Linked DNA regions of Tamandua tetradactyla. The protein of the gene in region 4 interacts with the protein of the main gene of each other region in a pairwise test. Links are inferred from orthologs where the notes say so. Each region holds a gene or a part of one and is shown on either strand. Other genes may lie near its edges.

Region 1 (8,204 bases), on a different chromosome or scaffold from region 4:
AGCTTCCCAACAAGGCCTGAGACAGAACTTTCTACCTCTCTCAAAATGTAAAGGACACATGGCAGACAGGAAAAATAAAAATATAAAAAGACAAGGCCTCTCTCTTCCTCCCCAAACACCCTGCGGCAAGCCCTTCAGACTGTCTGGCACAAAGTAGGTGCTCAATAAATATTTGTTGAATGAATGAGCAACTAAGGTCATCCTGCTTTGCCTTCAACCCAAATCCCAGAAGTCCTCTAGGGAAGCAAATTCAACCTCCTTCCTCAAACACTGTCACCAGCAACACATATTTATCCAGGGTGCTGAGCACACAGGGTACTGCAGGATTGGGACAGGGTGGCCACACAGAGGTGAATGGCCTCTACCTACCCATGTCTTGGGAGATAAATCTCAGGGAGGAAAAAAGGCTAACATCTAAAGAATGAGCGTATGCTTTGGCCACGTTGTGGGCTAAGTGCTGTAGGGAAAGAGTCTAATTTGACTCTCTCCTGTTGTAAATGCAAAACCCGGAAAAACTGGTTAACAACAGTGCCTATGGGCCTAAACGTTCCACCCTCCCAGGTCTTAGCCCAGCATCCACCAGGTACTGTTTCCCAGTCCAGGCCCTAGCCTTACTGCCTGGAGGAGGCTGGGAGGAATTGGTCTGATACCTGGATATTCCAGGGCTCCTGTTCAGGGCAGGGTGGGGAAGGCTCCCCTTTGCCAAACCTATAGGGAATGCTCTAAAAAGAGACAGGTATCACCAACTCCCATTTCTTAAGGCAACCCCTACCTTAAAGTCTTCTTCTGCCCAGGGCCAGAAAACAGCTGGGGAAGGCACCATGAAGGATCCCTGCTCCTCTCTCCCCACTGCCCACCCCAGCCAAGGATGCACAGCTCAGACGGTCTTTACAAGGAGAGCTGGGGACAGGACTTGCCAGGGGATCCCAGAAAGATAGGGAGGGCAAAGCCTACACCACATCCCCCTCCAGGCACTCTGATAGGCACCTGCCCCCTCCACAGAAATAACATCCTCATACCCATCTGACAGATGATGAAAACTGAGGCACAGAACCACTCATAAAGCTGGAAGATTCAGACCTAGAATTTGGTCCAAATCTCCCAACTCCCAGCCTAGCTATTCCTCCATTATGTATTGCTTCTGCCTTATATGGGTGAAAGAAAGTCCCCACAGTCTGTTTCCAATTCAGTACTGGGGAGAAAGAGGGTCATAGGGAACTCAGGATGCAGAGGCCAAAATCCTTACCACAAGAGAAGGGCAAAAACCCTAGTAGGCAAGGACAGATAAGTTCTGGAGGAGGGACTTCTTCTAGTTCTAGTGCCTCCAAGTCAATTCCTGCCCTCCAAAAGCTGAAATGGTCACTGGGAAGGTTAGCACCTTCCCCTCCTGCCCACAATATGTCCCTTCCTCCCCTCCCGCCCTTCCTTTCCTCCTAGCCAAACTTAGGAGGGACAGTGAAACGGCAACAACGCAAATGGTCCCTTCCCCTAAAAGTATGTATGAACATATTTCAGAACCTTGGAACCCCACCCCCTCACCCTGACTCAGAGGCTAAAGTTCATTGAGGAAGCTGCAACCCCAAGGGGGGAGGGGAGAGACAAAGTATCCAATGAGCTATCCTTTCCCAAACAAAACCCCCTCCAGATCAGCAATGAACTTGGCTTAAGGGCTTTGCAGCCCTCTTCCATCCCATACCCCATCCCCTGTCAGTTCTGAAAGAAAGGAGAGAATATTTGGATTTGGAACCAGCTTTGGGAGGTGGATGAGAAGACACCATGGGAAGAGGGATAAAATCCCAGGGACTCTTCTGGGGAGGGATGCTGAGGAGGAGCAGGTTTGGCTTAGGACCTTAGGGAGCTTCCAAGTGATCTGGATCTTACCCCAAAACTGTGCTGCAAACACCCAGTTCTACTCTCTGCAACGCCACCCCCCCTCCATGCACACACACACACCACCACCACCACCACCAAAATATAATGACAACCAGATGAACGAGTCCAGCTTAGGGGGTGGGGGCACACTTAAGGGCCTCAAGGGGACAGTGAATTTCCAGAAGGCCACCCTCCCCTCCCCCAAAACACTTCCCCCTTTCCTCGTCTTCCTCTGAATTCAGCCAACCCCACCCTCCATCAGGGAAACCTGCTTTGAAAAGTTAGGTCTTTGTTCTACAAGCCGGTATCCAGCTCTGAGCGCAATTTCAGGAGCTCTCTGCGAAGCACCCCCCACCCATCCCACTCCAGCACCCGACCCCACCCTACTCAAGCTGGGCTGCCCAGCACTGGGAACTGGCTTTAAATTTGAAGTGGAGGTTGGGAAGCTAAGGGTGGAGGTCAGTCATACCATTAACCACTGAACCACCAAGGGGGCTACAGGTCGGTCAAAAAGGGGGTCCCGCGGTGGGGCGGGGATCTTATCCGAAGCCCTCTTCACCAAATGCAACACTCCCCGGCTGATGGCCCCCGCCCCCCCAGTCTCCTGACCAGGAAGCGTGGCCATCCGCGGCCTGAAGGGACGGTTTCTCTGGGCCCCCCAGCCTCTGCCCCGCCCCCCCCGCCGCCCCCTCCCCCAGCGCCCGGCGCTTCCGCCTACTTGGCGCTCGGCTGGGCTGTGAGAGGGAGCGGCCGTCTCCTCTAGCTCTCTCGGCCCTAGGGGGCGGGACTGCACCCCTAATCTAACCCTCCTCCCCCGGCCTGGCTTCCCGGCTCCTTTCCCGTCCTCCCAGCCCCGGGGCACAGAGCCCACTCTTCTCCATAGTGGCTGCCCACGCGTGGACTCGGAGCCTCGTTCTGGATCCCCTGGATTCCAGACTGGGGACTGCCCCCACCATATGACACCGCCCTCCTTCCCTCCTCCCGGGATCGCAGGGATGTGAAGGCTGAGACCCGGCCCCTCTCTCCTCCCCCAACCCGGATCACTACTCGAGGAATTGCAAAGACGCAGGTCCGGGTCCCGGTCCCGAGCCTCACCTTATCCAGACAGTTCACCTTCTCCGTGGGGTACACGATCTTGCCGCACCGGGCGCAGTTGGGGTTCATGGCTCCAGGAAAGGCAGGGGCGGGGACGCCTGAGCTCGCGCGCGTTCTCTTTCCCGGGGACTGGCTGGCGGGAGGCTACCGCGGCTGCGACTAGGCAGGCAGCGGCGGCGGCGGCTGGAGCTGGGGAACTGGCCTCCGCCTCCGCCCTCCTTCCCCTAATAAACACCGCGGGGAGGAGGGGCTGCACCGGGGCGGGGACGCGCCGCGGGCGCGGGCAGGAACGCGCGCGGCGAGGCGCGCTCCCCGGGCAACGTGGGGCTGCGCCGGGGCGGGTTCCGGGGAGGGCTGCGGGGCGGGCGGTAGGTGCGTCTAGAGGGCCTCCAGCACCTCGGCGCGCCCAGGTGGACTGAGCCTTGGGGAGACGCGTCCGACCGCCAGATGCGGGCAGTCGGTGTTGCCCAGGGCCCTTCCCGCGCTGGAGGCAGCGCAGAGCGGGTCTGGGAGCGCATCTGGGACGCCCAGGCTGTGGGGGGTCGGGTGGGGTTGGAACGCTCCTGAACGCCCGGCTAGAGTCACTAGGGAGGCGTTATTCGGGACTTCCCTGTGTACCCGTTTGTCTCTGGGGTGAACCTGCGGGAATCCTCTCAGGTCCCCTCCCACTATACATCCTTTCCCACATTTGTGGGGCAGAACCCGTTCCTCGCTCGAGGAATCCGCGCCTCGCGGCCCGGCTGGTTCTTTCCTCCCGGCGCTCTGCCATGCACCTTTCCTCGGGGTTCCCCGGATCCGGGCACCCTGTGCTTCCAGCTTCGCTTCCTCTACTCCTTCATTCCTTTCTCCTTATTCCCACTCTCTTTTCCTAATGTAACAGCTGCAACAGTGTCTTAGCATTCAAAAAATCCATTGCCAGGCCCGGCGCTGGCGAGGGGGTATAGCTCAGTGGTAGAGCATTTGACTGCAGATCAAGAGGTCCCCGGTTCAAATCCGGGTGCCCCCTCGGTAGGATCTTTCACGTTTTATCACCACTGTGGCTTTCTTTTTCATTCTTGTTGTATGTGTGTAAGAAATGCAATAAATTTCTTTAAAATCATATCGTACATAAGTTACAAACGCTTATTTCCGCCACTCAGCTAGACCTTTTCCTGAAAGGCCTTCATTTCTTCCTTGATCCTGTTTCCCATAAGCAATGCGGAGCTGCGTCTGTTTTGGAAGGTTGTAGCTGACAAACACCAGTTTGTTGGTCTTTCTGGCTTGAGCGCTGGGCCAGGCCTATGCGCGGTGTGACGGAAGTGTCTCCAGAAAGGGAGGTGGGCGCTGGGATGTGGTCGAAGCGGCTGCACACGGCCACCGCGAGGTGGCTCACCCAGAGGAAGACACTCGTCCGTCAGCGTCTGTCGTGGACGTTGGCGCGCTGCGCCCTCTCACAGCCTCGCGCTCAAGTTGCGCCCGCGACCCGGCGCGCCACAGCCGCCAGGACACTTATGTTTTATACTTTCCTTTTCTTTGTGTGTGTGTGTGTGTGTGTGTGTGTGTGTGTCGAAACCCGCGAGCGAACCATTAATTCCTTCCTGATTCATATTTAAACATAGGGTCCTAGGATAACAGAAAAACGAAAAAAGTCCCTTCCGCATTTTCCAACCTTAGCAGAAAGTTTTCGGTTTTGTTTTGAGCCCAGCGAAAGGAGGAGGAGGAGGGGGTGGGTACACGCACAACTCAGGTACAATAGCTGTAGGTCGCCATTCTCCGCGCGAGGGGCTGCGGGGTTTCCGCGGGCAGCTGTGGCGGGCAGTTCAAGGTGCCGGGTTCAATTGGACGATACCCCAGATGAGCGTTCTGTTCCCTATGGGGATGCCGGGGGTGGGGGTGGGGGGGTCAGAACGGAAATCCACAGACAAACCTTCTCCAACTTCAGCTTCCTTTTTCGCCGGGGACTTGGACGTACTGTGGTCACCTTATGAAAGAGTGAAAGCACTTCGAGAACATTAAAACGGCCCGTGCAAATCCATAAACCCATTTTAAATTACAAAAATGAAGTTATATTCCGATGCAGTCTGATATAATCTAGTACAGTGATTTTCAAACATGAGCGTGCATCGGAATCACCTGGAGGGCTTCTTAAAACACACCCTGTTTGTTTCTGACTCCCTAGGCCTGGATAGGGCCCGGAGAATGTGCATCTCTGACACGTTCCCAGGTGATGCTGCTGCAGCTGCTCGGGGAACCACAGTTTGAGAACTAATACTACTAAAAGGCCACCGAGTTTCAAATCCTAAACATGGAGACAGATATCGCCTGGTTCAATGAGCAACCATATCACTGTTGGGCCGGAGGAAAATGAAAAATGCCAAGGGAGAAGCAAGAGCGTCCTGCGCGGCTGGATTTTGCCCCAAAAAAGGAAAAATTAGGGAGAAAGGAAGAAGCATGCTGCATGGGTTAGGGGGCAGCTGCGATATTTTAAATCTGGAATCTGGTTGTGTCATCCCTCTGGCTCGCGGGGGAATACTCGAATACATTCTTTTTCCACGGTTCCCGGGGCTGTGAACGGCCGGGCTGAGCTGGACGTGAAAAGAGCAGAGCTGTCGCCTACAAAGATCAGACCCAAGAAATAGCCAAAATTTTCAACCCTTTCCCCTAACTTCAGGCCTCAAATAATACGACCTACAATTTATCCAGCAAAAACCTTGCCTTTCAACTAATAAAAGGAAGGAAAACATTTTGCCTTTTTCTTTCTTGTATCTGTTCCCTGTTTTGTTAAACTTGGTGTGTAAATTTTCAGAATCTGGTTTTGTTCTAGTCTTTTGGGTCAGTATACCAACGAAGCAAAATAATATTGATCTCTCTCTCAACCTGCCCCACCACGCCATGCCATTTTTATCCAAGAATCGATTACAATTAACATTAAACCATGTGGAACCATGTAGTATCCAACTGATCTGGGTGTTCCAAGGTAGGAATAGCTGGGCGCCATAACTCAAGTGTAGAACTGAGAGCAGAGTGCGCACAAGAGTCGGGGAAGCATTAAAGTGATGCTCCTGGCATATCTGAGTTATGGCTCTCTATTTCTCTTTCTGTGGGAACATCTGAAGGGAAAACTGAACCTACATCTCAAATTAAATGAGAGTAATTTATTGAGAGCTTTGATGTTGGAACCTGCTAACTATTATCTATCACATTATTCTTATTTGGGTAGCTTAGTCCCTGAAAGGCAGTGAAAAACTTACTCCGCGAGGGGGCACCCGGATTTGAACCGGGGACCTCTTGATCTGCAGTCAAATGCTCTACCACTGAGCTATACCCCCCCTGCTGGCTTAAATGTGGTAGGTTTCTTTTTCATCAATTTCAGAGTTCCCATTAAACCATCTGTTTACATTAATCTGCCTTTTCTAAAAATGAGTGGGGTTATCAAAAATCTTACTCATCTTTCTCCCCTAATAAGTCAGAAAACAGCCCCTTGCAAAACTGGATATGGAATCTTTTCCCCTGCTCTTGCCAAAAAAGAATATAAACACCAACTGAAAGATGTCCCCAGTGAGGCCTTCCCTGACCAAACTCTCTAGTAGTCCCCCTGTCTTTTGGGGGGGGAAGGGGGGTGGTGAATGCTCACTTATGCCAATCCCTCTCTTGGTGCTGGAGATACTTTCCATAGAAAGATGCAAAGGCTCTTGCTGTCACTGAGTTTACAGTCTAGTGAGAGGGACAGACTAGAAATGGAGGAACAAACAAATAAACAAGGAAATACCCAGTGGTGATAGGAAAAAAATTAAAATAAAACACAAGTGATTTTTTGGAAGATGCATTAGAGCCAAGAGAGCCACAAGGAAAATGCCCAGGGAAGCCTTATGAAATGAGAGGAAGACATCAACATGTGTCTTCCCAGCCGAACTTCATCGGCCCTTTCTTTGGAGTTAGGTATCTTTGGTTGCCTTAATTTGGACATTTTCATGGCCTTAGAACTGTAAACTTGCAACTTAATAAGATCCCTTTTTAAAAGCCAAAAAATAAAACACAAGTTAGGGAGTACTGGAAGTCCATTTCAGGTTGGGTAGCCATGGAAGGACTTTCTGAGCGGGTCACATTGGAGTTATGACCTGAATGACATGACAGAGACTACCATCCAAGGGGACGTTTATTCCAAGCAAAGGGAATGGCTACTGCAAAGGCTTAAGGCCAGAGGAGCTGGAGGGAAGTGGGCAAGGGGAGAGCGATTAATGGGAGCTGGAGAAGTTGTCAGGGCTGTGGAGAAGCTTGAAGACTAAGGTAAGGAGTTTTGATTTTATCAAATGAGTTTTAAGCAGAGGGATTTTAAATTATCACCAGGCAGGTTGGGGAGATTTGTTAGAAAGTTGAGAATGGACACATATATACCTATGCAAAAAGAGTGAGCACAAAGAGACTAGTTAGGAATCTGTTGCAATAACTCAGGAGAGAGCTGGGGTGATGTCTTAGATTACATTGGCATAATTAGTTTCCTTTTACTGCTGTAACAAATTACCTCAAATTTAATTGCTTAAAACACCACAAATTTATTTTCATTCTGTTCCAGAAGTCAGAATTCTGAAATCACTTTCAGTGAGCTAAAATCAAGGTGTTATCCAGCCTGTGTTCTTGTGGAAGCTGTAGGAGGAAAGAGAGTTTCCTTGCCTTTTCCACCTTCTAGAGGCCACCCTCATTCCTTGGCTGGTGGCCTCTTCCTCCATCTTCAAAGCCAACCGCATAGTATCTTTTTTCCCTCTAACCTCTGCTTCCATCTATACTTCTCATTCTTTGACTCTGACCCTCCTGCTTCTCTCTCATAAGGACTCATGATTACATTGAGTCCACTAGGATAATCCAGGATACTCTTCCCATCTCTAGATCCTTAACTTGATCTCATCAGCTCAGTCCCTTTTACTGTGCAAGGTAACATAGTCGCAAATTCCAGGGATTAGGATGGACATCCTGGGGGTGGGGGGCATAATTTAGCCTTCCACAACTGGGAAGAGCAAAGATGAAAAGAAACGGAGGCATCCAGATTCTGCATGTCAAGAACAAGTCTTCTTTTTTCTTCACCATCTGCATGGATGGTGATGTGATTTCCTGACATAAAAAACACTGAGGAAGCCTGCAACAGTTGCTCAGTGGCAGAATTCTCACCTGCCATGCCAGAGACCTGGGTCTGATTCCTGGAGCCTACCCATGACAAAAATGAAAAAGGAAAAACACTGAGGAAGGAGTAGGTTCGGGGTGGG
Region 2 (7,337 bases), on a different chromosome or scaffold from region 4:
TCATATCTATTATCTGGTATACGCTGGATGTACTTAACTAAGAAGAGTAAACATCTTGAAAATTCATGTAAAATTTGGTCTTAATCTGTATAAAATGTTGTAGAGGGTTTAGCCACCTTAATTTTCCTGAAAAGATGTATTCCTGGGAAGAGTGGCAAATTCACAGAATTTTTCAAAGCTGAATCTTGTTTAACTTGACCTGGAAATGGGAGAGAGCTCAATATTTAAAATAAGTGAAGGGTGAACAATTTTCATAAAACAAATCATTATCCCTGTAACAGACTTATTCTGATGGCTTCATTTCAATTATAAAGAGAATTATGTTTTGCATTGCTGTGCCAATTTTTTTTCATTTCTTTCTTTAATCATGGTAACATGTAGGTAAGTTAAAATTTTCCACTTTAACTATTTTTAAGTGCACAATTTTTATATCAAACTGGATTGTGCCTGAAGGGGGTTATGAGGCCAGGATCTCTGGGCAGTTTTTTATTTAGTTCCGCAGACATGGTGTGCAATAAGCCCCTCACACATTTTCCCCCCTTATTGTCCCTTTGGTCAAGCCTATTAGTGAGAATTTAAAATTATCAAATTTCAAACATCATTTAGTAATATGAGTATCGAAAGCACTGAGAGGCAGAAATCATACCTCCTTTTATCACATAACTCCTTTTCTTACCTTTCTACCCACTCTACCTTCTCTCAGGATGCAGGCTTATGCCCTCTTGGCCTGTGGTTTCCTGGCTCCACTCAAAGGGGATAATTATAGGCAATATCTGCTGAGGCAGCCTGCGAAGTAGAAAGTGGGCAGGGTTCCTGAGGTCGGGAGCAGAGATCTTTCAATAACAGTCAGCACTGTCTGTATCCTTTTAAGTCAAGGAGCTATTTGTTTCTGTTGTCACTGCTCAGTGCTGGATGGCTTGGGCTGCGCTGTCAGCAATGTTGGGAGAGACTAGAGAAGGGCCTAGAGCATCATTGATTCTAAGGGTCGAGGTACAGAGAGCTCTAGAGATACCTCAGAGGAGCTGTCTCTAAGGGGATATCCTTAGGTAGGGTAGACACCAAGCGAGAGGCAAGATGGGGTTTCCCATTCTTGGGGACTTTTGCTCCCTAAATGGGGAGTCCCCTTGCCCCTTCTCCATTTTAGGCTCCCTTAAAGTCCATGATACTCTTGTCAAGACCCACATTTGGCTTACAGAGGTCGCTGCCCTCTGAACAGTCTCCAGATCTCTTGATCATTAAGAGATGATCCACACTGGTGACAGGAGCTGAGTTGCAGGCATGCAATATAGCGATGGGAGGTGAGGGGAACCATAATCTACTGGGTGATGATGTGCTCTCCCAGACCCCTAACCTTTTCCTTGACACTCGGGCATCCTTCTCATGGCTTTCCTAATTTATTTCATATCTTTAAGGATCATGTGTTTCTGTGTTGGAAGAAGGATTCTCTCCATGTACATTCAAATCAGGGATTGATTATCCCTTTGTGTGTCCGGGCTATGTGTCTTTTATGTGGGTGTTTGATGAGTCCCTAGGTGTGGTGATGTGAAGAGTTAGAAAGCTCAGAAATGGAAAATATTTAACGTTCAGAGTAGTAGTAGATGAATACAAGTTGCCCATTTGCATTTTTCCTTTCACTTTGACTCATCTTCCCCTCTCTGCACCCCATTGCCCCTCCACCAGCCCCACCCATTGGCACACCCTGTATGATCTAGGATGTGTTAACACCTACCTGCACCCAAACTTGGATGAGAGTTAGAGGGAAGGCATGTTAGGCATAGAAGGAGAGAACAGCAGGTTAACCTGAACATTTTAGGGTCTGGGAGCCCAAGGGAGAATAGGAACTTAGAGACACAAAATTTGAGTCTTGCAGAGGACCGGGATCTCAATGGGAGGCCAAGGAGCCAGACTGTCTTTTTTGTCAGCAAGGCAGCCTACCAGTGCCTGACATTCTTGTTTAACTTTCAGTTATTTTGTGAACATATATGATATGCCAGGTATACACTGTAAATTATTTATCAACATTTGTTGAATGAAAATTTTACTACTGGAGCAGGAATAGAATAAAAAGAAACAGAAAAACAAATGTGAGTCTCTCAGACCTCATCCCTTCCCCAGATTAAAGAGTACTAACGTGTGAAAAGAGCGGAAATCTCTGGGGACTTTGACCATTGGGCAGGAAGTGAAAGAAACCCTGAGACCTGATTTCAGAGAAATGTCATTTGTCATCAGCCCAAGAAAGTGAATTTTTCTTTTCAAAGACCACCACAGACCTTTCCTGGGGTTGCCCCCTCCAGAGTATGATGGGAGGATTTGAGTTACTCACATACCTTATTCTGATGGCCCAGAGTACAGGGGTCTTTCCCAAAGAGCAAGTGATACCTCTTAGTACCAAGTCAGGGAAAGGGAGGAGGCATGCCTTTGGCCCTTCTTCTCCTTCTCCTTGGAATGCAGATGTTTCAGTCTTTTTTACTTCTGAAGTAGAAGCAGAAACAGCTTCCAACTACTATGACTCTACTATCCCCTCTAAGAAACAGAACTAATACTATTTGAATGATGTTATGAACTTAGAAACCATTTTCACATACATCATGTCATTTCATCTTCACCCCATCTTCAAATGAGGTAAGAGAGAGTATACCTATTTCATGGATGAGGTAACTGAGGCTGAGAAAGAAGACTTGCCCAAGGTGATTTGACCAGTAAATGGTAGAGATGTGATTCAAGTGCAGGCCAGATTATCCAAAAGTCCCTGTTGCCCCAGATACATTTCTTTGACCCTAGGAGTTCACAAATGAAATAAGGAGACAGGTCAAGGGGCAAAATGTCTAGGTTCTGCAAATAGAAGAGGTAACTCTTCTTGGAGAAGTGAAGCAGAGTCAGGGGTATAAAAGCCACACCCCTTTGGGGGACTGTGGCTGACTGTTATTTGGGGCATCCAATGGAGGACTCTGAGGTCAGGGGCGGAGCTAGTTCCATCAGGCCCCCAGGAGTCCAAACAGTGTTCAGAGCATGCGGTGTCCAGGGAGGAAGCTACAACCGGTGAGTGGTTGCTTCTCCCCAGCTGAGGCTTTCCTCCCAATATATCCACCACCACCCCCAACTCCCTGGCAACCTGCAACCCTCAACCTAAATTGTCCAAGTAGTAGTTCTCCCTCCCACAAGGGTCCTTGTTCATGGTGAGCCCACCCCTCAGAATATGGCTGCTGGGAACCTGCACCTTGTTTTAGATTATTTCCCTTTGTAACTGGGTTCCCAGTTTTCTTCTTGAAAGCCAGTGTGGTGGATCTGATGTATGGTAAACTCCTGCCCTGCTGGGTTCTTTCAATTCTCTATTTTTCACTCATGAAAAACAAAATTAAACCATCTCCCTAACCTAATCTTGAGAGAAAATAGCCTCCTCCTCTATAGTTCCCATTTCCCTTTCTTCCACTTCCTCAGGAGTCAAAGCCTTCTCCAAAACCTCGCCATCCTTGGATTAGGAACCTTCTCTTCTGTGGTTTTTGTACCACCTACTCTCTTAATTCACTGGACAGTAATCTTTGGTCTCTTCCAGTTCCTTCTCTGAGGATGCATTCTAGAAGCTTCAGCCTCAGGGGAATGCCTGAGCCTGCTCTCCTGCAGCCATGACCCCTTTCTTGCTGCTCTCCATCTCTCAGGAGACTGAGCTCCACTTGATGGGCTCATGGGGGGGGGGGGGGGGTGGTAGGACAGAGTTTAGGTAGCTTTCTAAACTCTGCCCGTGAAGCTGTGTCTTGTGCCATCCCTAAATGCCAGGGCTGGCTGAGTTTGGTGGTGCTCTCTTTGTCTGGAATGAGGAAAGTCTGGCCTGCTCAAAGGTCTTGCTCTTCAGAGGGGCTTAAAGAAGTGGAAATATCAGAGTCTGCTATTTTTTAAGTCAAATTGCAAACTGGTAGTTCCCACCTATATTAAACTCACTACTTGGTGGTGTTTTTGTTAACTACCTGGTCCTTGCTTTTTAAGTCTTGAATTTGGTCTGATTTCCATCCCTATGCCCCATCCCTGTTATGATTCTGGATAAACTTAGCTCTCTCTTGGGCTAGTTTATTTGCCCCATTTCAGATCATAGAGCTGATCCTGGACTCTTTCTCCCCTCACCTTCACAGGCTTAAGAATATGCCGTTCCTCCCTCCCCTTTCCACCAAGGACCCTACACTGTGACCTTCCTCTCAGAACCTCTGAGATTGGTACCCAGATAAGGCACAATGCCCCTGAGCCCCACAAGACTGCTCAGTCCTTACAACTCTGACCGGCTGGTACAGCTGGCAGCCAGGCTCTGGCCAGCACTATGTGATGCCCTAATCACTGTGGGTAGTCAGGAGTTCCCTGCCCACAGCCTGGTGCTAGCAGGTGTGAGCCAGCAGCTGGGCCGCAGGGGCCAGTGGTCTCTGGTGGAAGGCATTAGCCCTTCCACCTTTGCCCAGCTTCTGCAGTTTGTTTATGGGGAGAGTGTAGAGCTTCAGCCTGGGGAGCTAGGGCCCCTTGAGGAGGCAGCCAGGACTTTGGGAGTACAGGCTCTGGAAGAGGCATGCAGCAGGGCTCAAAAGGACAGGGCTAAAGAGGAGTGGGATCCAGGGCCGAAGAAACACCAGGAGGAGTCAGAGGAACCTTTAAAGGATTTTGAGAGAGGACTGGGAGGCTTTAGAGAGAAGCAGAGACCAGAGAAGTTTTTCAGAGCTGGTGGGAAAGAACAAGAGATGTTGCATGAGTCCAAGCCACCAAGAGAGAGCCCCAACATAGCAGGGGCAATATGGGAGGGACAGGGGGTACAGATGAAATCAAAGGAGGAGAAACTCAACCAATCCCTGGTTGGTCAAGGGGGGAGAGATGGGAAGCCAGAAGTGGTCATGTGGGTGAGAGAGAGTCAAGGGGACTCTGAGGCAAGTCTTCGGGGACTAACAAGTCCCCTCCAAGCCAGCATCATCCCCAGGCCCTGGTGGGCTGAGGGCCCCTGCTTGGGGAAGGATCAGCCTGCCCTGTGGAGCATCCTGCTATGGCCGTCCAGATATGGCACTCCCTTCTCTCATAGCACCCCCTTCAATGGAGCCTGGCAGGAGGTCTGGCCTTGGAACCAGAGGTAAGTGAAAGGCCTAGTGTAAGACCTCCCAGGCTGGGAGGGAATGGCCCAGTAGTGGTGATGGGCGCAAGGGCACCATATCTCTTTATTTCTACTGTACATTTCCTAAGCTGGGGATAGTACAGGAAGCTCCCACCACAGGGGAAGCCAGAGCCCAGCCCCTGAAGAAGACTTAGGACACACCTCCCCAGACAAGGACAGGTTTGGTTAGGCCCCTATGCTTTGCCAAAGCTGTAACTCTGCCCCCCGCCCTGCCCCCGGCACCCTCCTCAGGACCCCACTGTCCCTGAACCCCCACAAAGGACTCTGGAGCCAGAACCTGTTGGCTTCTTCCAGCTCCACCCCAGGTAAGCTCCTTGCTGCCCTATAATGTGATCCTTCCTCTGGGGCAGGGGCTCCAGGAGTCCAGCCTGAGTAGGGCCCCTACTTCATTCTGTTCCCTCCAGGTTCCTTCCCCCAGTATCCCACACAGCTCAACCCTGGGGAGATGGAAGCGTCTGATCAGGGGGACACAGGTGAGTAGGGTGAAGGTGCTTTTGCTTTCCCACTGTGGCCCTAATATCTTGCCTGGGTGTTTCAGTGACCCGGTTCTGGGATGCCTATCCTTGCCCTCCTTTGACTCTTCTGTGCCCACAGGCCCTCTAGAAACCCACATGGGTCAGGACAGGAGAGCAGGCTACTCATCTCACCAACACTCTCCCCCAACCCCTCCTGCTCGGGAAAGGCCCTATTCTTGTTCTGTCTGTGGAAAGAGGTTTTCACTCAAGCATCAGATGGAGACGCACTACCGAGTCCATACAGGTATGGGCTCCTGCCCAGTGTCTTCCCAACTCCAGTCTGTGCGCTCCTGCATCCCTCTTTGCGTGCCCAGCTCGCGTGCACCCACTGGCTGGCCCCATCGCCTGATGTACCCCTAGCTCAGCAGGCTTTGCCTTCTTTCCTTCACTTGGCCTCCCCTTCTGTCCGCCCTAGGCGAGAAACCCTTCTCTTGTGGCCTCTGTCCCCAGCGCTCCCGGGACTTCTCGGCCATGACCAAGCACCTGCGTACGCACGGGGCTGCGCCCTACCGCTGCCCTCTGTGCCGGGCGGGCTGCCCCCGCCTGGCCTCGATGCAGGCACACATGCGCGGCCACTCGCCCAGCCAGCTCCCGCCGGGATGGACCATTCGCTCCACCTACCTCTACTCCTCCTCTAGGCCGTCCCGGGCCTCGACTTCTTCCTGTAGCCCCCCTCCCTCCACCACCTGAAGGGACTGTAGGGAGCTTCTTTGGCCGACGGCCGCCCGCCGCCTGACCCGGCTACTAGCAAATTCGGCTCCATACGCGCAGCAGAAAAGGTGAGGAGAGCCTTCCCAAGGACGACCGTGGGCCGCAGAAGCCTGGGCCGGCAAGTCCGAGTGGGATGAGGGCAGTTAAGTTTGCATGAGTGAAGATCAACTGTACGGGGCCTGATGACCGCATCATCATAATAAAGAGTTTCCTGTGCTCTCCACTCAGGACAAAAAGTCGAGTCCAAACTAATCTGTGCGCCGGGTCTCACGGGTCTTGAAACTTGTCCTATAGCGGCCCCTGGTGGCCATGCGCCCACTATCCCGCCCGGGAGCCAGCCGCTACCTCCAACTCTCGAGACACTCCGTTCTCCCCTGGAAGCAGCGGGTGTCGAGAGCTCGGTGTCAGAGCTGACATCGCAGCAGGTACTGAGCGGTTTGTGAGACACCAAATCACTCGCCCCTTTTACAGCAAGCAAGCCACAGAATTAGCGTGCAGCGCCTGTTTAGGCGCGCCCGGCCCGAGGCTCCAGCCGAACGCGGGCTCCGCCCTGCTTTTGGCCAGCCGACTTCTTTCCCTCAGCCTCTCCCCTCCGCGCTGTACCGACCGGCCTCCGCGGTCACTCCAGGAACTGAAACTAACCCTTTGCCCCTGCCCCTTCCCAAGCCCACGCCTCCCGGTGACGCGAACTCCATTTCCCAGAGTCTCCGAGGTCCCTAGGGCCGAAGTCTGCTGTGCCTTGGGAATAGTAGTCCACACGAGCCGCTTATCTAGACAAGGGCAAGGGAAGGAATCCCGGGTGGAACCACATCTCCCAGCAAGCCCGGAGATGACTTTCGGTGCCCTGCTCGGGACGCCGTAGTTCCAGCTCTCGCGGCGGAAGGAGCGAGGCGTCTGGACTGCATTTCCCGAGGGGCTCCGCGCCTCGCACCTCTCCGGCGGCGACGCGCGGTCTGTGTTCCTCAGGCACGGGC
Region 3 (8,327 bases), on a different chromosome or scaffold from region 4:
TGTTGTTCACAGGTCTCTACCATCAATTGTTTCTCAGTCTAAGCCTTTTATTGCAAGACTTGCCTGAGTTACATAAAAATAGGTGACATCCATCTTTTCAAGCTCAGTACCTGCCTGCCACAATAAAAAGTTACAGCTTAAACTAATTTAAGTTGATAAGAGCACTGTATTAACAATGATTGGCTACACTGGGTCTGACAGCTGTCTAGTCTCTTCATTTCCCCACAGCCCAGGGTTATTCTTCCCAGGGAGACAAATCACATTCTAACCTACAATACAATTATTTTCTCAATCCTTAATCTTTCCATATCAGAAAAAGTAGCAAAGGTAAAAAAGGAGGCTGACTTTATTATTTTGATACAAGAGTAAATGTTTGGACATTTAAAGTCAGACAAACAGCAGTATGCCATAATTAACATTTCACTAGTTACACTTAAGTCTTAATTCAAGCAATACAAAGCTTTTTTAATGAATGACTGGAATTGCAACTTAAAAGGTTTAAATGTATCTTTTTTCGCCTTCTTTTCTGGGATAAAGCATTTTCAACAGGAACACTGGATATTACAAAGTATTAAAATAGTCGTTTCCTTCCTGATAGTTCTTTTAAATGTAAAAAAATCAGACACCATATTAGCTTTGGAAAAGGAGTGTCAAGCATCTCAAAAACTTGATTTAAAAAAAGAGGGGGGAAGAAACATTTTACTAAAGACACCAAAGGATATCTAAAATCACTGCGACTCCAGGCACTCTATGAAAATGCCATACATCTTTTAAAATAAAGAAACCTAGATACACAAAACCAAACAAACCAAACAAACAATACCTCCAATCATCCAACGGTCCATTTTTTTTCTAGAAGTCAGCTCTCTTACCTTCTTGGAAGCCTCAGGGTGCAGGATTTGCCTGACATGAAGCTGCCCATCAGTACAAAGACAGAAGGAAGTTCCTACCCCAATATTCAGTTCGTTGCTTACTGACTGGTTAAACTGGAAAACAAACACATATACAACGGATGCAATTAATGCATGGATTTACGAACTCTACAAAGTGGCTCCATTTGGTGATACCCGTGCTAACTATAGGGGCGAATGGAGATCACCGGTGCTGGGGGCAATATTAGAAAAAAAGACTCCATTCCTACAAACGCGGCAATGCTTCCTTTAGGCAGGTAGGTAGGTCGGATTGTTTCTAAACAATCCGAAGTTTTCACGTAGGAGAAGCTAGTAAATGCATCCTCCCGGACTGTTTTACCCTTCTATTTTTCCGGTAAATCGATTCAAGAACTTTAAGCCAGAGATCTCGTTTCATCATCAGATTGCCTTCAGATTACATCATTCCCTGGTGTTACTTTATGTTTGAATGTACCAGGTTTAAGAAAGATGTCAGTCCTGATAAACAAATGTGGGTGATGCGTATACAGACAGACCTCTAGAAAATATGGTAACCCCTTTCCTAAAATACACCCCAGGTAGGATAGGGGCCGCAACAGAGCCGAGCACTTATCGGTGCACAGGTGTCTAGAGCCCCGCCCTATCCTTGAAACAGCCAGTTTTTAGGTCACCTCAGCTCCAAAAAGGGTATTCCCCTAGTGACCCAACGAGCAGACCTACAAGTTCGGACCTGCAAATCCTACCCCGTGCTAGAATCAAGGCAGCTAAGGGTAGTGAGGAGGAATGGAAGCGAGGCTTTGGGAGTGGAGAAGCCTGAAATCCAGAGCGCAAGCAGACTCCTCCAGGTTGCGACCAAGCTGGGGCAGCCGGGCCGGCCCGCACGTCTACACCACAGCGCCCCCTGCCCCAAGGCTGAGCCGCAGACCCAAATCCGGGCAGGGGATAGGCAAGGGACGAGGGCCTTAGGATTCAAAGGCCGTTTGTCGCTCTCGTTACAGTAGCCTCTTGGTAAAACTTTGCTGACTCTTTGGTCCCAACAATGACTCAGGAAGCGCCTCGAAAACTAACGAGTTTCCTCGCAAGTTCCTGGCGGCGGGAGGCGAAGAGGAGCAGCGACCCCCGCCCAAACCGCTCACTCCGGTCTCCGGGCTTAGACTTGGCGGCCCTCGATGACCCGCTCCCATCCACGCCACCGGGTGTCGCACCCACCCCACCCCGTCCTGGCCCCAGGGTACGCGCGTGGACCGGACGAGTCGGGGGGGTCGCCCGGGACCTGGCTGATGTGGGGGTGGACTGTGCGGCCCTAGGCTGTCACCTGTCGAAGGGCTTGGTCCAGCTGCGGCGCCGAGGACAAGCTTTCGGCGTCGATCTTGGTTTCTTCTTTACAATCCTCGGTCAGTTCCAACTGATCCGGTCTAACTAGTACTTCGTGCAACTGTCCCACCTCCGGGGAGAGAAACAGGGGTCAGTTTTCCCCTCCCTCAGTTCGGAAGCCGCTTTCTTCACCCTCCTCCCTCGCTTCCCTGCTGAGGCGGCCCGCGCCGCCAGGACGTCGGACCTCAGACTCAAAGCTCGCTTGTCGCCAGCCGCCCGGTGGCCGAACAGTCGGCGCGTCCCTGCCCCCTCCCCTCCGCACCACCCCCACCCGGATCAAGTAGGAAAGGCCCTGGGAGTGGGCACGGAGACCCCAGGGATCCGGTCCTCCAACCCGCAGAGAACCTGCCCCCGGCGCGCGGGCCTCCGCACCTGAGCCAGATTTCCGAGGACTTGAAACCGCTCTTAGGCGGTTGGCCAACAAGTTTGGTTTTACTCTGGATTCCCTAGGCCTCGGGTCCAGCCTCACAAGTGAGCAAACAGCACTTGTTTACCGACTCCCGCCCCCCAACCCCCCCAAAAAACTTCTACAAAAACTTGTCTCATTTCTTGCTTTTGGATAAAAACGTACAGAAATACCTTCTTGTTAGCCAGATCCACCACTTTCCATAACAGCAAGATCAGCTCCTTCTCATCCGAGCCCAGCTTGGCCCCAGTGGCCCCAGCAGTGATCCCAAAAAGCACCACCAAGTAATCCGGAGAAGCCGTCATGACGATAGGTGGGGAGGGGGAGAAGGGGGGTCGGGAGGCGGTGAGGTGAGATGGAAGTGAGAACGGGAAAACCTGTGCTAGAGCCTCTTCTGAGAGAAAAAGAAAGAACGCCCACCCCCCCTCCTCGCCGCCGCCGGAGCAAAAGGCGGTAACCAACCACCCAAGCCCACACCTGGCCCGAGCTCCACACCCAGGGCAGGAAGGGGGGTGGGAAGACGGGCGCAGGAGGCCTGCCCTTTTTGTATTCTGTTGCCAGTGCGTCTATGCAAAAAGCTGGGAGAAGAGCTGCACCTCCAAGAGGCGCGCGCAATGGCTGAAAGCTTTTCTGTTTTGGGATGTGGCTCTACCTGCCCGCTTCCTCCCCTCCCCCTCCCCCACGTGGTGCAGGTAAGAGACAGACACCTGGCGGCCCTGGCCTATTGGCTCCTTCAAACCAAGGACGTGGCAGCGGTGGGGGAGGAGGCCGCCCGCGGTGGGGGTGGGGGTGGGGGTGGGGAGAGGGGGCGGGAGACAATGGCTGGATGAATGGAGAGGGGAGGGGAGGAGGGGGAGACGGGAGGGGCGGGCAGTTAGAGGTAGCCACCCACAGGTTTGTGAAGGCCAGATGGGAAAGGGGTGAGGGGTAAACGGCGCTGAGGGGAGGGTGGTGGCCTTTGGAAGCAAAGGAGAGGTGGGTCGGGGGAGGCTACTCGGAGGAAGGCCGACTAGAGGGAACGAAGCCGGAGCTGAAGGGTCAAGAGAAAAGGCCAAGGCGCCGGAAGGCGAAAGGAGGCCAGAGGTGAGACCTGGGGCGAGGAGCTGCCCTGGGCGCGGCGACCCGGGAGGGCATGCTGGCGAAGAAGGGAGGGACCGGCCAACTGCAGCCGGGAGGTGGCGGGGACGATTGCAGTGCATCGGAAAAGCCGTTCCAAAGCCCAACACACCTTCCAGTGCTAACAGCTGGCGAAACTGGCTGGCAGCTGCCCCACCCCACCCCCGTGCGCTCTCCACCCCCGGGGCTTATGTCCCCCTAAGCCCGGGGCGTCTCTCACTTTCCGGAGAAGAGCCTCGGGGGCGCGGCAGAGCCAGACTCGGGAGACTGGACGCCCAGCCACCAACTCACGTCCAAAGACGCAGCTACTCCGGGCGCTCCAGACCTGGAGGGCGACCCCCGTGACGAAATTCAGGGACTCCGTTTTCTCTAAATTACCCAGATAATTGCTCCGTTTGGGTTAGTTGTGACTGCTAGTTCGAGAGCCTTCCAGAACGGGCCCACTTCCTTTGGTGTGCCCCAGGCCCTAAATAAAATGTGTCTACCCTGCGTTCCTAATAAATGTTTTCCTAAATTAGGCCAAAATAGGCTTTTTCCTCGGTTCCCCGACCAAGTTCCCAAACAACCTCCCAGTTCTACCCCAGCTTCGTTTCCCCAGAGAGATCAAGCCAAGTGTGACTACCTCGTGCTGGGTTCTGTTGACATTTTAAAGAAAAAGACGATAAAGGGAAGTTTACTCGGTATTTTCAATCGATCTCTTCTTGGGAACACAGTTTCGTCTGAGGTATTATGAATTCCGCTCCAGGTGCCCAGCCCTTCGTATTTATGATGTGCAATCGGGCATCCACACACCTATCACTGCATCCATCCTAGGTAGAAATCGGGTAACCTTTCAGGACGCTTTTCAGGTGAAGCTGGTGACTGGGCCTAAGTGGGGAGGGGGTTGAGGCTCCTGAGACGCGAGAGGAACCCGAAGGGCGGGCAGCGGCGTTTCCAGGTAGGAAAGGGCGCGGCGGGTGGCGCAGGTAGGAGCTTGAGTCCCCGGAGAGAGGGCGGGGACCGGGAGTCGCCGGGGCGGGGATCCCAGAGCTGAACAGCTGCCAGTGCCCGTGAGGGCGCTCGGTAGCACCCTCGTCTGCTGCTGGTGTCCCCGAAGCGCGTGCTTCCCTCTCTGGATCTGAGAGTCAGAAAGGACTCCCCGCAGTCCCTCCAGTCCCTCCAGCTCACTAGCTGCGGAAGCCTAGCCCTGCCCAACCCTCAGCATCTTTGAGCCACCCTCCCGGGCCCTCGGGCGCCGCGGGGGCAGGGACTGGGCGCGGAAAGAGGCAGGGAGGGACCTGGAAAAACCACCCAGATAGCATTGCAGTGGGCGAGGCCTCCGGGAGGAGCCGGTTCCCTGAAGCCTCCTCCCCACCCCCAGGGCTTTCTCTGTGCGCGGTTCTCTCCGCCAGACCAGAGCTTGGGAGCTACAGCCCCGCTCCTGCGCGAGACTGTGTGTGTGTGTGGCGGCGGCCAGGAAACCTGACGTCTGCGGCGACTTTTGCTGAGAAAGTGGGTAGAACAACTCAGGAAGCCCGACCCAGGTGTTAAGATTAATCATTTGTCCAGCGCGTTTGATAAACCGAGGACTTTGTTAATGCGTTGGCCAGGGGTTCCGCCGCATTATCCAGATTGTAATCATGAATCTCAGCTCCCACTTTTCATAGAGACTTGCCCTCTTGCTGTTTAAGGAAGCCAGATCCCCGCTTTCTGATTTTTTTTTTTTAATTTTAGTTTTAGTTTTGTTCAACTAGATTTACAATATAGGGATTTTTTGTTTGGTTCCTTACTGTCCTTCCAGGGCTGGAAACTGAATCTAGCAATATACTAGGCACTCAACAAATATTTGTTGAATGATTTTAACGGGAAATACCCACCCACCTTTCCAGCTCTTTGTCTTCTGAGTCGAGGGCATAGTTCATAGCTGCAAAGGTGAAATTCTGGGAATGGGAATCTGCAGGTAATTTGGGTCAGTTGTTTAAAAAGAGTTGGTGTTAATTCTTGGGCAAACTTTTGTTAAAAAAAATCAACCTGTAAAATGCAGAAATGCTAAGAAAAAAATCTGTGATGTAATCGGATCATTTCTGAATACTATCTCACCATCTATTAATTCTAGTATAGTGAGAAGAATGGGTATGATGAAGTGGTAGGAACACTTAGCAGGGAGTTTCATTCTATCTATGGTCTTCACTCAAGACCACACCTAAAACTGCCCAAATAAGAATCGACTTTGAAAAAATACCATCTGAGACAAAAGACAGAAGAACTGAAGAACTGTTCCAGATTAAAGGAGATTAACAGGTATGACAAATAACTGCAACGTAGATCCTGGACCAGAAAATAAATATATATGACAAGCAGTGGGCAATTGGCAAAATTTGAATAAGGTCTGTAGGTTAAATAATTGTATGTGTTAATTTCCCAATTTTTGTAATTTTACTGTGATTTCTTAGAAGTTCCTGCTTATGGGAATTTGATGCTGCAGTGTTTATTGATGAAGGGGTATTATGGCTGCAGCTTACCCTCTCAAGTTTTAGGCAAAATACAGAGAAAGTGATAAAGCAAATGTGGTAAAATGTTACATTGGGGAATCTGGGTGAGAGACTTCTTTATACTGTTTTTTTTTTTTCTTTATGCTATTTTTGTAACTTTGCATAACTGCAAAATTATTTCAAAAATAAAAGTTTTTAAAAACACTTCAAAGAACTTTTGCTGCCTCTGCCATTCTTGTGTCTAACAAGGTTCTGATATTTCTATACTAACCTAATTCTTAATGCTATAGGGTTTTCTTTCCTTTTTTTTTTTTTTTGTTTTGTTTCATTTGTTTTTCCCTTAGTGGAGGAAGGGGGGGGAAAGTTCACCATTTTCTGTATAGCAATCATTTACTGTATAATAAATAACCTTTCCTAGACTAAGTAACTGCAAGCTCCTTAAAGCTTTCATGATGAATCTTAGTTTACTGCCTTTAATTATCTTCATTACCTTCCCTTGATCCTTTTCCTCTATCATTTCTAGAGGCCAGCTCTTGAACTGGACCGAATAAGAATGTGTCTGCTGGAATATGACCACTGGCATAATGGTACCTACATGTCGTATTATTTGTAGTGCAGTTTCCTTTTTGAGGCTACAGTAACAACATCACTTTTGCTGATTCCAGTTTCATTTGAGTTCTCTAGAACTTTCTCGGAGTTCTCAATTGCACATACCAGTTATTCTCTTGTATCTTTAAGAAAAGAGACTTTAAAAGTGAATCAAAGTATGAAAATATACTGAATTTAGACAATAATGGTGAGAGTTGTACAACCTTGTGAATATACTAAAAACTGCTGAATTGTATACTTTCAAGGCATAAATATTAAGGTATGTTAATTATATTTCAATTTTTAAAAAAATAGAAATCAAAATAAAACCCTGTTCTGAGGCTACCACAAGCCATTGATATTTCTTATTCTTATAGATGCAGTTATATATATATTTTTAAAAGGTGCAGTTGTAAAATAGACCACATTTTATACTCCCTGAACAAGTTCACCCTCTCTGAAGTGAAGAGGTAGGGGGGAGTGATGGTTATGATAACTAAATAAATGATAATTTTCTATGAATTTTTCTCTGTGTTATGCATGTAAATAAATTACCAGTCTGAACTTTATTATAGCAATTATTACAGATTGGAAAAACTCTGGACTTAATAGTCAGCCCCGCCATTTGCTCCTCTGCACTATTAAACTCACTATTAAAAAATGGGGCTAGTGGGCGGGCAACAGTGACTCAGTTGCAGAGTTCTCACCGGCCATGCCTGAGACCAGGGTTTGGTTCTCGCTGCCTGCCCATGTTAAAAAAATAAAAATGGAGCTAGTAATGATGCATACTTCATAGGTTGTAAGGGGAAAGGGAATGTGTAAAGAATCTTTCTAAATAAAGAAAACAAATCTGAGAACCAGGAAAACTACTACTCAAAGAGAAATGCACAAATGGAAAGGGTCCTAAAACACCAATCACAGAGGCCCTTAACTGTCTGATGTTAATTTGGCAGGCTGAAACAGAAGACTTTACTTACAGCTGTGTCATAAGGAAATGTACAGAAAAATACACATAGGGAAATGCACCATTAATCTGGGCATTGTGGCTTATAAAATACACCTTCTTCTTTAGGTTTACAGAACCGATCCCATTTAACTGCACATCCAGGGAAAAAAAGATGTTACTCAGGAAATTCCTACCTTTTTAACCCTAGTCTTATGCCATCAAGATATCCATTGCTTCCCCCCCAGTCCCTTGCCCAGAAACACATCCCTGCTCCCAAAATCCAGGCCAGAGAGAGCGAAGCTAAGCGACTAGACTTATCTTTTAAGGCAAGGTAAGGTTGACAGGAATGGATGTTTAAAGAAAGGTTTCAAGAAGGAAAAGTAGTTTGTTTCTCTTATGTCCTGAGTCCTGCTTCCTGATGGTCTGCCATTTATCCATCTATTGGCTGATAAAGAGTGAATTTTCGAGGATGCAAGGGTAATTCAGTGGTAGAATTCTTGCCTGCCATGCAGAGACCCAGGTTCCATTATGCCCGT
Region 4 (7,559 bases):
TTCAGAATGTCTGCTGTCAGTGCCATTTTTGCTATTATAACTGAAAAGTTCTACAAGGTGACAGTGAGGCTATCGTTCCCTAATAAATTATTTCTGCTGAGTAAACCCTCTAGAAAGCCAGTCATGACCACTGGCAATTTAGGTTCTGAAGAATGGGCGCTCCTCACACTTGAAAGGCCAAAGGCCAAGGCCGAAGGCACTGGACTGCTAAAGAAATGTTGCTCTAGTAAGCTCAGAAAGGTTTCTAACAAGTACCAAATACTTGTTGATCTGTTAACAAACACCAGTAAGGCTGTCAGGCTCCTTTCACCATGCAGAGAGATATTCATTTACATACCGCACCGAGTAAGAACTGGTTCTTGGTCTCTTTCGTAAACTTGAGTAGCTAGAAACCTAATTCAGTATCTCTTGTCCAAATGACAGAGAATTGAAAGAGGGTGCAATTGAAATAGTGAAGTCTCTCGTCTGGCTCGGGCAGCACAAATACTGTGCAGAAAACACTTGGAGTAGTTCAGGCACTCCCACCTGAATGGACCAAGGAACACTGTCTGTTACCATGGCAGCCTGATCTAATTACATGACTGATCAGGGCTGGAGTAAGTGCACCGAAAACCTACACCACTGACATGTATCTACATGATGAGAAAGACAGGCAGCAGGAGGTTCAGGAGAGCCCTTCGACCTCTGCTTTATGTAGAAGAAGGTAGTAGGCAGGCCCATTTATTTACGGAGCTGCTAAAATATTGACTAACGCCTGCACGGTTAGAGGGCAATCAAAGGAGATTAAATGGCACAGCACAAGCGGTTATGGTGCAATCCCTTTCCAAGAGTTCCTGTGCAGGATTTTCTCCTTCTTCTCTCTGGTGGTTTCCTGGGGCAGAGCTTCCTTCCAAAGAAGCCCAAGTATCAAACTATCATTACCCACCAAATAAACCAGAGGGTGGGCTTAGCAGGGGCTTCTAGGAACTGCAGGACTCCTCAGAAACCCAAAAAGAAAAGGCTTAGCTAATATTTTTGAAAAAGTAACCAGCTGTGCCTAAAAATAGCCATCTAGTAACTACCCACTGCTGCGCGCGATACAGAATGATGATGTTTAAATATTAAGAGCAGCCTGCATTATAAAACACAAATGTCATTGAGATGTGACTACTAGATTGCTAAAGCAGAACTTATTTGCATACAACATTCCCGTGCCTTCACCATAGGATTTGCAGGGAGGATGCCACTGTAAGGCATTAGTTTTCTTTTCTTTCTTTTTTTTTTTTTTTCCTGCGGGTGTAATGGGGTCTTCTAATTTTGCTAATTGTATCCTGTGGATCTCAGAAGGAAGCTAAGAATCTCTTCGGGGAAAGAACCAGTTTGGAAGAGTCCCTACTGCACAGCATACGGTAAACAAAATAAAAATAGCTTGCCGTTCTTGTTAGCCACATCGCGCATTATATAACCCGCTTCCGACTGGCTTTTTTTTTTTCTTTGCCATTACTACTCTTCAGCAATTTCCCAATCTTCTCAAGTATTTATATTACCATCTTATGTGTAGGATTATATACCAAGAAAGCGAAACAAAACAGAGCAGCCACGGTTATGACCCGAACCCCATCGTCCGTAGAAACTGTGATTTTTTTTGTTTTGTTTTGTTTTCTGGCACAATCTCGATCACCACCCTACTTCCACCCCCCACTAAGGTTCTTGCTCAATCTCCCTAGAAAACCTGAATTGTTTCATCGCTTCCAGTCAACCTCCTACGTGGTCTGAAATAAAATGAAAGCACAAGCCACGGAGTTTAGGAAGGCGGCCTGGGGGCGGGGGGCTGAACGGGGGTCGGGGCGCTGCAGAGTCGGCCAAGTAGCCACCGAGGCGCCCCCTCCCCATCGGGCGACGGCCCTCCCCCCTCCCCCCAACGCGCGCGCGCGCACACACACACACACGCACTCACACACACTCACGCCCCGCTCCGACACCGCCTCACCTCTAGCTCTGCGCGTCCGGCCCTTTCCCTGCCCCCGGCGGGACCGGCCTGCACGCAGCGCTGGAAGCTCGTAGGAGGAGGCGGCTGCAGCCGCGGGAGTAGCAGAGTCCCCGGCCCGGGCCGGCCCAGAGTGAAAGAGCGGCGGGGCTCCAGGGCGCATCCCAATCCCCGCAGCGCCTCCTCCGCCGCCTCCTCCTCCTCCTCCTTCCCCTCCTCCTGGCTTCATTCACCCTCCCAGCAGCCGCGCAGCCGTTCACTCCCAGCGCAGGGCAGCGCCCGCCGCGGCTCCCCTGCTCCAGCCGCGGGCGCTCGCGGACTCCGGGCTCCGGGCGGCGGCGGCTGCACATGATCAGGAAGCGGCAGCACCAACAGGGCGGCGGCAGCCGGGGCCGCCACCGCCACTCCAGCGGCGCTCCGGGCACCCGCACCCTCGCTGCCACCCCACCCCCACCCCACCCCCCGCGGCCACCTCTCCACTCCCCCGGGCCACGCGCAAAGTCCGGGCCGGGCGGCCGGCGCAGCCCTCTCCCCCGGCCGCAGCCGCACCGCCTCCGAGGCCGGCCTGCGCGGGGAGACCCCCACCCCCGGGCGCCGAAGCCGGGCGGCCACCCTCGGGGAAGCCCGGCCTGTCCGCGACCCACTTGCTCTTGCAGCTCCCGCCGGGGCGGGTGAATGCGGAGGGGGCAGCGGGAGGAGAGGGCAGCGCGACCCCCGGCCGCCGCCGCCGCCGCTCCCTGCGCCCCTCCCCCGAGGGACGACATGGTTCTCCGCACTCGGAGCAGGGCTCCGCCGCCGTCCGCGCCCCCAGCCCGGCGCGCCCCCCTCGCCTCGCGAAAGCCCACCCTCACTCCCCCAGCCCCGGCCTGCCACCCTGCCTGCCGGGGGGGGGGATGTGAGCCCCCGCGAGGCTAGAGCCCAGGACGGTTGTATGTGCGCACACGCACACACACACACACACACACACACACACAACACATCACAACGCGTCTATTTCCTTCGCTCCTCTTCCAGCTGTTTTCCGTGCCGCCTTTTGGGGTTTGGGGTTTGTTTGCTGGTTGTTTCTTTTGCCCCCCTCGAGAGAGCGCGGGGGGTGGGGGGGCATCTAAATAAGGGGAGGGGGAGGGGGAGGGGGAAGAGAATGAGAGGAGGAAAAAAAAAAAAACAGCCACTTACTGTAAAGTGTAAATGGATCTGGGGTTGCGTGGGGAAGGGGGGGCAGAGGGAGAGAAACAATGTCTTGCGGCTGCTGTTGCTCTGGCTGCTGCTCCACAGGGCTTGTTTTGGATCCCCCTGCAGTGAAACAGGTCCTGTACGGCGCCGCCACTGTAGTAGAAATGATGTCTGCGGTATACTCTGCTCTCTCCTCCTCCTCGCGCTCCCCTCCCCGCCTCCTCCCTCCTCTGGCCCGCCCGCCCGCCCTCCCTCGCTAGCTCGCTCGCTCCAGTATGTAAATGTGTAATAGAAGCCAAATATGGAGCAGTTGGCTGCCGCCGCCGCAGCTCAAGGATCTCACTTCTTGTGGGGGGAGGAGGCTGGGGGGGGAGCTTTGGCCGGCGGCCCGGCGAGCCTCACCGATCACGGCGAGCGGCCGGCCCCGCGCCCTTAACCCTTCGGGGTCGGGCGGTCCTCAGGGAAGGCGGCTCCTTTCCGCCGCCACTTCCCATCCCGACAGAGTGGCTCCGTGGGGGAGACAAGGACCCGGGCCCGGTTCCTTCTAGGTTTGCGAAAGGGGCGGGGAGCGGAGGCGATGAGGTCATTTTAGCGGTGATCTGTGGGTCCCCGCGCGCCAACCCCGGTCCCTGCACCTTGCCGGGGAGGAGGTACGAACAGCGGGGTGCAACTCTGGCACGCTGGGAGACCCTCCTGGGGGGGGGGGGGGCGGGCGCCAGCTGAAGCCTGGCTCAGAGCCAGTGCGTAACCCGGGGAGGGGGAAAGGGGGAGAAGGGGGAGGGAAGGTCAGCTCCACTCTAACCCCGACGTGCCCTTGGTCCCCGGCGCTCCTTAGAAGCGACTGCGAGGGCTGATTCGGATCACCAGCTGCAGGTTAACCCCGAAACCGATTTAGAGCCGGCCGTTCCGGAACCCAGACCCTGGGGCCGCGGGGTTTGCTCGTCTTCGCAACTCAGGAAAGTTTTAAGGGTCTTCTCGACTCCACGTGCGCCTTCACCTTCACTGCGGGCGAAAGCTGGTGACCTCTGCGCCTTCCCTCCTTTCTCTTTCTGCAGGTCCGGAAATCTGCTTTAGATATTGAACTGCTCAGCTCCAGCCGGGAGTGACGACCCGCAAACTCCTCTCCGGCTAATTCGGGATCATTAATTTAATCGGAAATGAGGTAAGCAGTGTAGGAGATAGAAAAAGCCAACCGAGCATCAAATGACAGTTCTCGAGAATCCACGCCGAAGAACTTCCTCCGGACTCTATTTTTCAGTCGGATCCTCTAACTCTCCGCCGCCCTGCCTCCTCTGCGTGTACCGCCTGCGGTGTGAGCTCGGTGGGAAGCAACCTTCACTGGTGGGGTGCACCTCGCCCACAGGTGTGGCACCTGGGGAAAAGGCATCTCCGTGCCAAGGAAGCTCGGCCAGCGTTCTCCTTGCTGCAGATCATTCTGGAAGGCCAGTAGGTGTCAGAGTAGCATCTGACCTCCTTGAGATACTCTGAACCAAGCGTACAGAAGCACGACCTCTCCACGTAAGTTTGACCGTACTCCGTATTTGAAACGCCTCTGGCCGAATTTCCGTATGACTTAAGGCTTAGTCACCAACTGAAAGCAGGATACAGAATCACCGAGAGAAAAGCATTTAAGCAACACTATCGTAGAACCCGTGTGCTTCCCAAAGTAAAAAATAAATATACTAACTAGGAAGGTAGTGAGCCCCGAAATTTTTTTTTTTCACATTTTGAAACTCCGAGCACATATATGGGGCTATTTAAATAGAGATACTACTGTTCACTCTTACTCAATTCTACAACTTTTTTTTTTTCCATTTAAAAAAATCAATGATTGTTACAATTTAAACCTCTGGTTGGTCTAAAGTGACATTGTTGGTCTCATTACAGCCTCTAGTGGACAGTTAAAATCATTTTCCTGGAAAGGCTCTGCTTGGTTTTGTTTCTGTTGACAAGCTTTATCAAAGTGAAGGTTAATATCGGAGAACATAACCACATAATATCTCTTCCCTCACTTGGCAGAGCCGACTTCCGAATCAAGCCGGGGCTTGTTGGCTTTACCAGGACAAGATGTAGGCTTTGAGCTACAGGTATTACTGTTACTAGCCTGTGAAGAAGCACAGAGCTTCTGCCATTTCTTTCCGTTTCAGACAGCTTTCATAAAAACTAAATTTATCTAAAATATTTTTATAGCAGAAAATATTGGTTGCCATGTTTTTGGCTTAACTGAGATGTTTTTATTCCAACTCATCATCTGCAGACTGCCCAACCCACCTCCACTCTACTTTTAGACATCTTACATTTAGAGACTTTTCAATAAAAAAAGAGCAAATATTTTAATTATTACAGTGACAGAAGCAGTTAATTTATGCTGTTTTAACAGCCTTAAGCAAATTAAAACACATAATTCAGATTAGCGCTAGTCCATTAATTTAAATATTCCCTCAAGCAAGCTAAATATGTATACTCACCAAACAGTAAAAACAATAGGAAATGTGCCATTTACTTTTTTAGCCATTAAGATTAAAGCCATAAACTGTGACTAAAATCTGTAACTATTTCTCTCTGCAAGGTCCAACATAAACATAAATGCTCATGATACACTTTTGTTACCATTAGCCCTGAAATACTTTGTTCTCAGATGGCAAAATATTAAACACACAGCCACAAATAACAGGCACTGGTTCTTTAAAAACAAGATTTTCTCATGCAAAATAAAAACTCAGTGAAAGAAGAAGAGCAGGGCTTTCAAGCAGCCAGTAGGCAAATATATAGTCCTAGAGTCCTATTCATAAACCTCGTATTATATTCAGACAAGTGTAAGTCAACCTTTGAAATTAAAGGAAATTTAGAAATAAAGCCTGCTGAGACTCACTACCTAGCTTGTGCTCTGGATTGCTTAAATACCATGGATAAATAATTATAATCGCATCTATTTTATTGTTTTGGTAGTGTCTAATTCGGAAGGTTTAAAAAGGGCTATCAAGTGAATACTATATCATATAATTATATATTATATCCCTGCTTCTTTAAAGAGTAGTCCTTGGAGCAGCAGCAGCTGGGAGCTTTACAGACATTCAGAATCAAGGGTTCCACCCCAGCCCTTCTTGCACGCAAATCTGCATTTTAGCCAGACCCCCGGGGCGATTCCCAAGTACTTGTGAGGAACATTGGTTTATACTACAGGGCTCTAGCTAAATGAACTTGGCCACAGGTGCAGAACTTAATTCTTTTATCTGTTCCTTTCCACTCCCTCCTCTCCTTTTTGTGATTTTTGGTATTAAAAAAATTATTACATTATATGCTTTGAACGGATAGTACTCCATTTCAGAAGAGTCCTAATTTATGCACAAATCTGTATCATCATTGTCAAAAGAGAACACTATGCTAAGAAATGTACTGGGGTCTCAGACGTGAATGTTTTCCTTATGGCAGCAGAGGGAGCACGAGAGTGCTTAATAAAACAGTGTACAGGCCCCCAAAGCCTAGCAGATTCTACGTTGTAGTATACCTTTTTATTGGAAGTAGACTGTTATGTAGTATAAGACAAGATAAAACAAACAAACCAAAACAGCTTGCCAGGTTATAACAGCCAAATAATTGAACAGATCAGAACAGCCTTTGACAGCTTAATAGAATGTTGATATATTTATTTAGAGTTGTATAAAGTTTAAAAGAAAGTGGACCTCAGAAGTCATAAAATGTCTTAGTTTTTCTCTTGTCAAAAGTCAAGATCACATGATAACAAAACAAGGCAATTCTAAGCGTAAATCCTGTTACTCTAAAAACATTGGCGTTAAGTTAACCCAGTGCAATTAACCATGCATCAGAGAAATTCATTTCATTTGGAATCACACAAATTATATGAAGTATGTACATTTTTTTGCAATGCTTACAGTGACAGTAATTGTAGGGGTTCGTCCTTAAGCCTGGGAGTAGCAAGAATATACGTTCCAATTGTGTCTATGCAGCATTTTGATATTTTCCATAGCTCTTTGGTATCGTATCCTCAAAAGCTCCCAAAATGTAGGTAAGATCGATGGTGAAGCCCAGCCTCAAAAAAGTTGTAGAACCAACTCATGCTTTCATTATATGTCATTTAATTGTTAGAATAAACCTTCGAGGTATTCACAGATGAATGAAATCACAGAGATTAAGGATCCAGCCACATGGTCATTGTTTTTGTGTTTTTTTTGTTTGTTTGTTTTTGACAGTTTCAACAGTTTTTCAAAGTACTATGTAGTGATTACTGAAAAGACACTGTCTTAATTCTCAAATTACTTTTTATTTACTTATTTCCCCAGCAGTCATTTATTACGGACCTACAATGACTAGGCACTGACAAGACAAAGACAAATAAGACACAGTGTGCAGAGAGTTCACAGCAGAACAAATCTTATCTTTTGAAAAAGGTTAATATTTA

Evidence for each region.
Region 1: the proteins of ATXN1 (region 4) and LASP1 interact in binary tests that used the Homo sapiens proteins (3 or more experiments, as listed by UniProt). The link is inferred for Tamandua tetradactyla from reciprocal best matches to the Homo sapiens genes ATXN1 and LASP1.
Region 2: the proteins of ATXN1 (region 4) and ZBTB32 interact in a two-hybrid assay, tested with the Homo sapiens proteins (2 studies listed by BioGRID and IntAct). The link is inferred for Tamandua tetradactyla from reciprocal best matches to the Homo sapiens genes ATXN1 and ZBTB32.
Region 3: the proteins of ATXN1 (region 4) and ESRP1 interact in binary tests that used the Homo sapiens proteins (3 or more experiments, as listed by UniProt). The link is inferred for Tamandua tetradactyla from reciprocal best matches to the Homo sapiens genes ATXN1 and ESRP1.

What each region holds. Positions count from the first base shown.
Region 1 is NC_135332.1:28,270,691-28,278,894, forward strand, and holds the start of LASP1 (LIM and SH3 domain protein 1), read right to left. Parts: upstream 3,234-8,204; 5' UTR 3,037-3,233; coding exon 2,968-3,036; intron 2,506-2,967; exon of another isoform or gene 2,482-2,505; intron 1-2,481. UniProt on the Homo sapiens protein: Plays an important role in the regulation of dynamic actin-based, cytoskeletal activities.
Region 2 is NC_135342.1:30,268,317-30,275,653, reverse strand, and holds ZBTB32 (zinc finger and BTB domain-containing protein 32), read left to right. Parts: upstream 1-4,211; 5' UTR 4,212-4,223; coding exon 4,224-5,095; intron 5,096-5,368; coding exon 5,369-5,442; intron 5,443-5,541; coding exon 5,542-5,610; intron 5,611-5,731; coding exon 5,732-5,896; intron 5,897-6,067; coding exon 6,068-6,342; 3' UTR 6,343-6,604; downstream 6,605-7,337. UniProt on the Homo sapiens protein: DNA-binding protein that binds to the to a 5'-TGTACAGTGT-3' core sequence. May function as a transcriptional transactivator and transcriptional repressor. Probably exerts its repressor effect by preventing GATA3 from binding to DNA.
Region 3 is NC_135332.1:138,183,848-138,192,174, reverse strand, and holds the start of ESRP1 (epithelial splicing regulatory protein 1), read right to left. Parts: upstream 3,234-8,327; 5' UTR 2,976-3,233; coding exon 2,844-2,975; intron 2,335-2,843; coding exon 2,206-2,334; intron 987-2,205; coding exon 873-986; intron 1-872. UniProt on the Homo sapiens protein: mRNA splicing factor that regulates the formation of epithelial cell-specific isoforms. Specifically regulates the expression of FGFR2-IIIb, an epithelial cell-specific isoform of FGFR2.
Region 4 is NC_135351.1:19,862,092-19,869,650, forward strand, and holds the start of ATXN1 (ataxin-1), read right to left. Parts: upstream 3,353-7,559; 5' UTR 3,143-3,352; intron 2,284-3,142; exon of another isoform or gene 1,970-2,283; intron 1,812-1,969; exon of another isoform or gene 1-1,811. UniProt on the Homo sapiens protein: Chromatin-binding factor that repress Notch signaling in the absence of Notch intracellular domain by acting as a CBF1 corepressor. Binds to the HEY promoter and might assist, along with NCOR2, RBPJ-mediated repression. Binds RNA in vitro.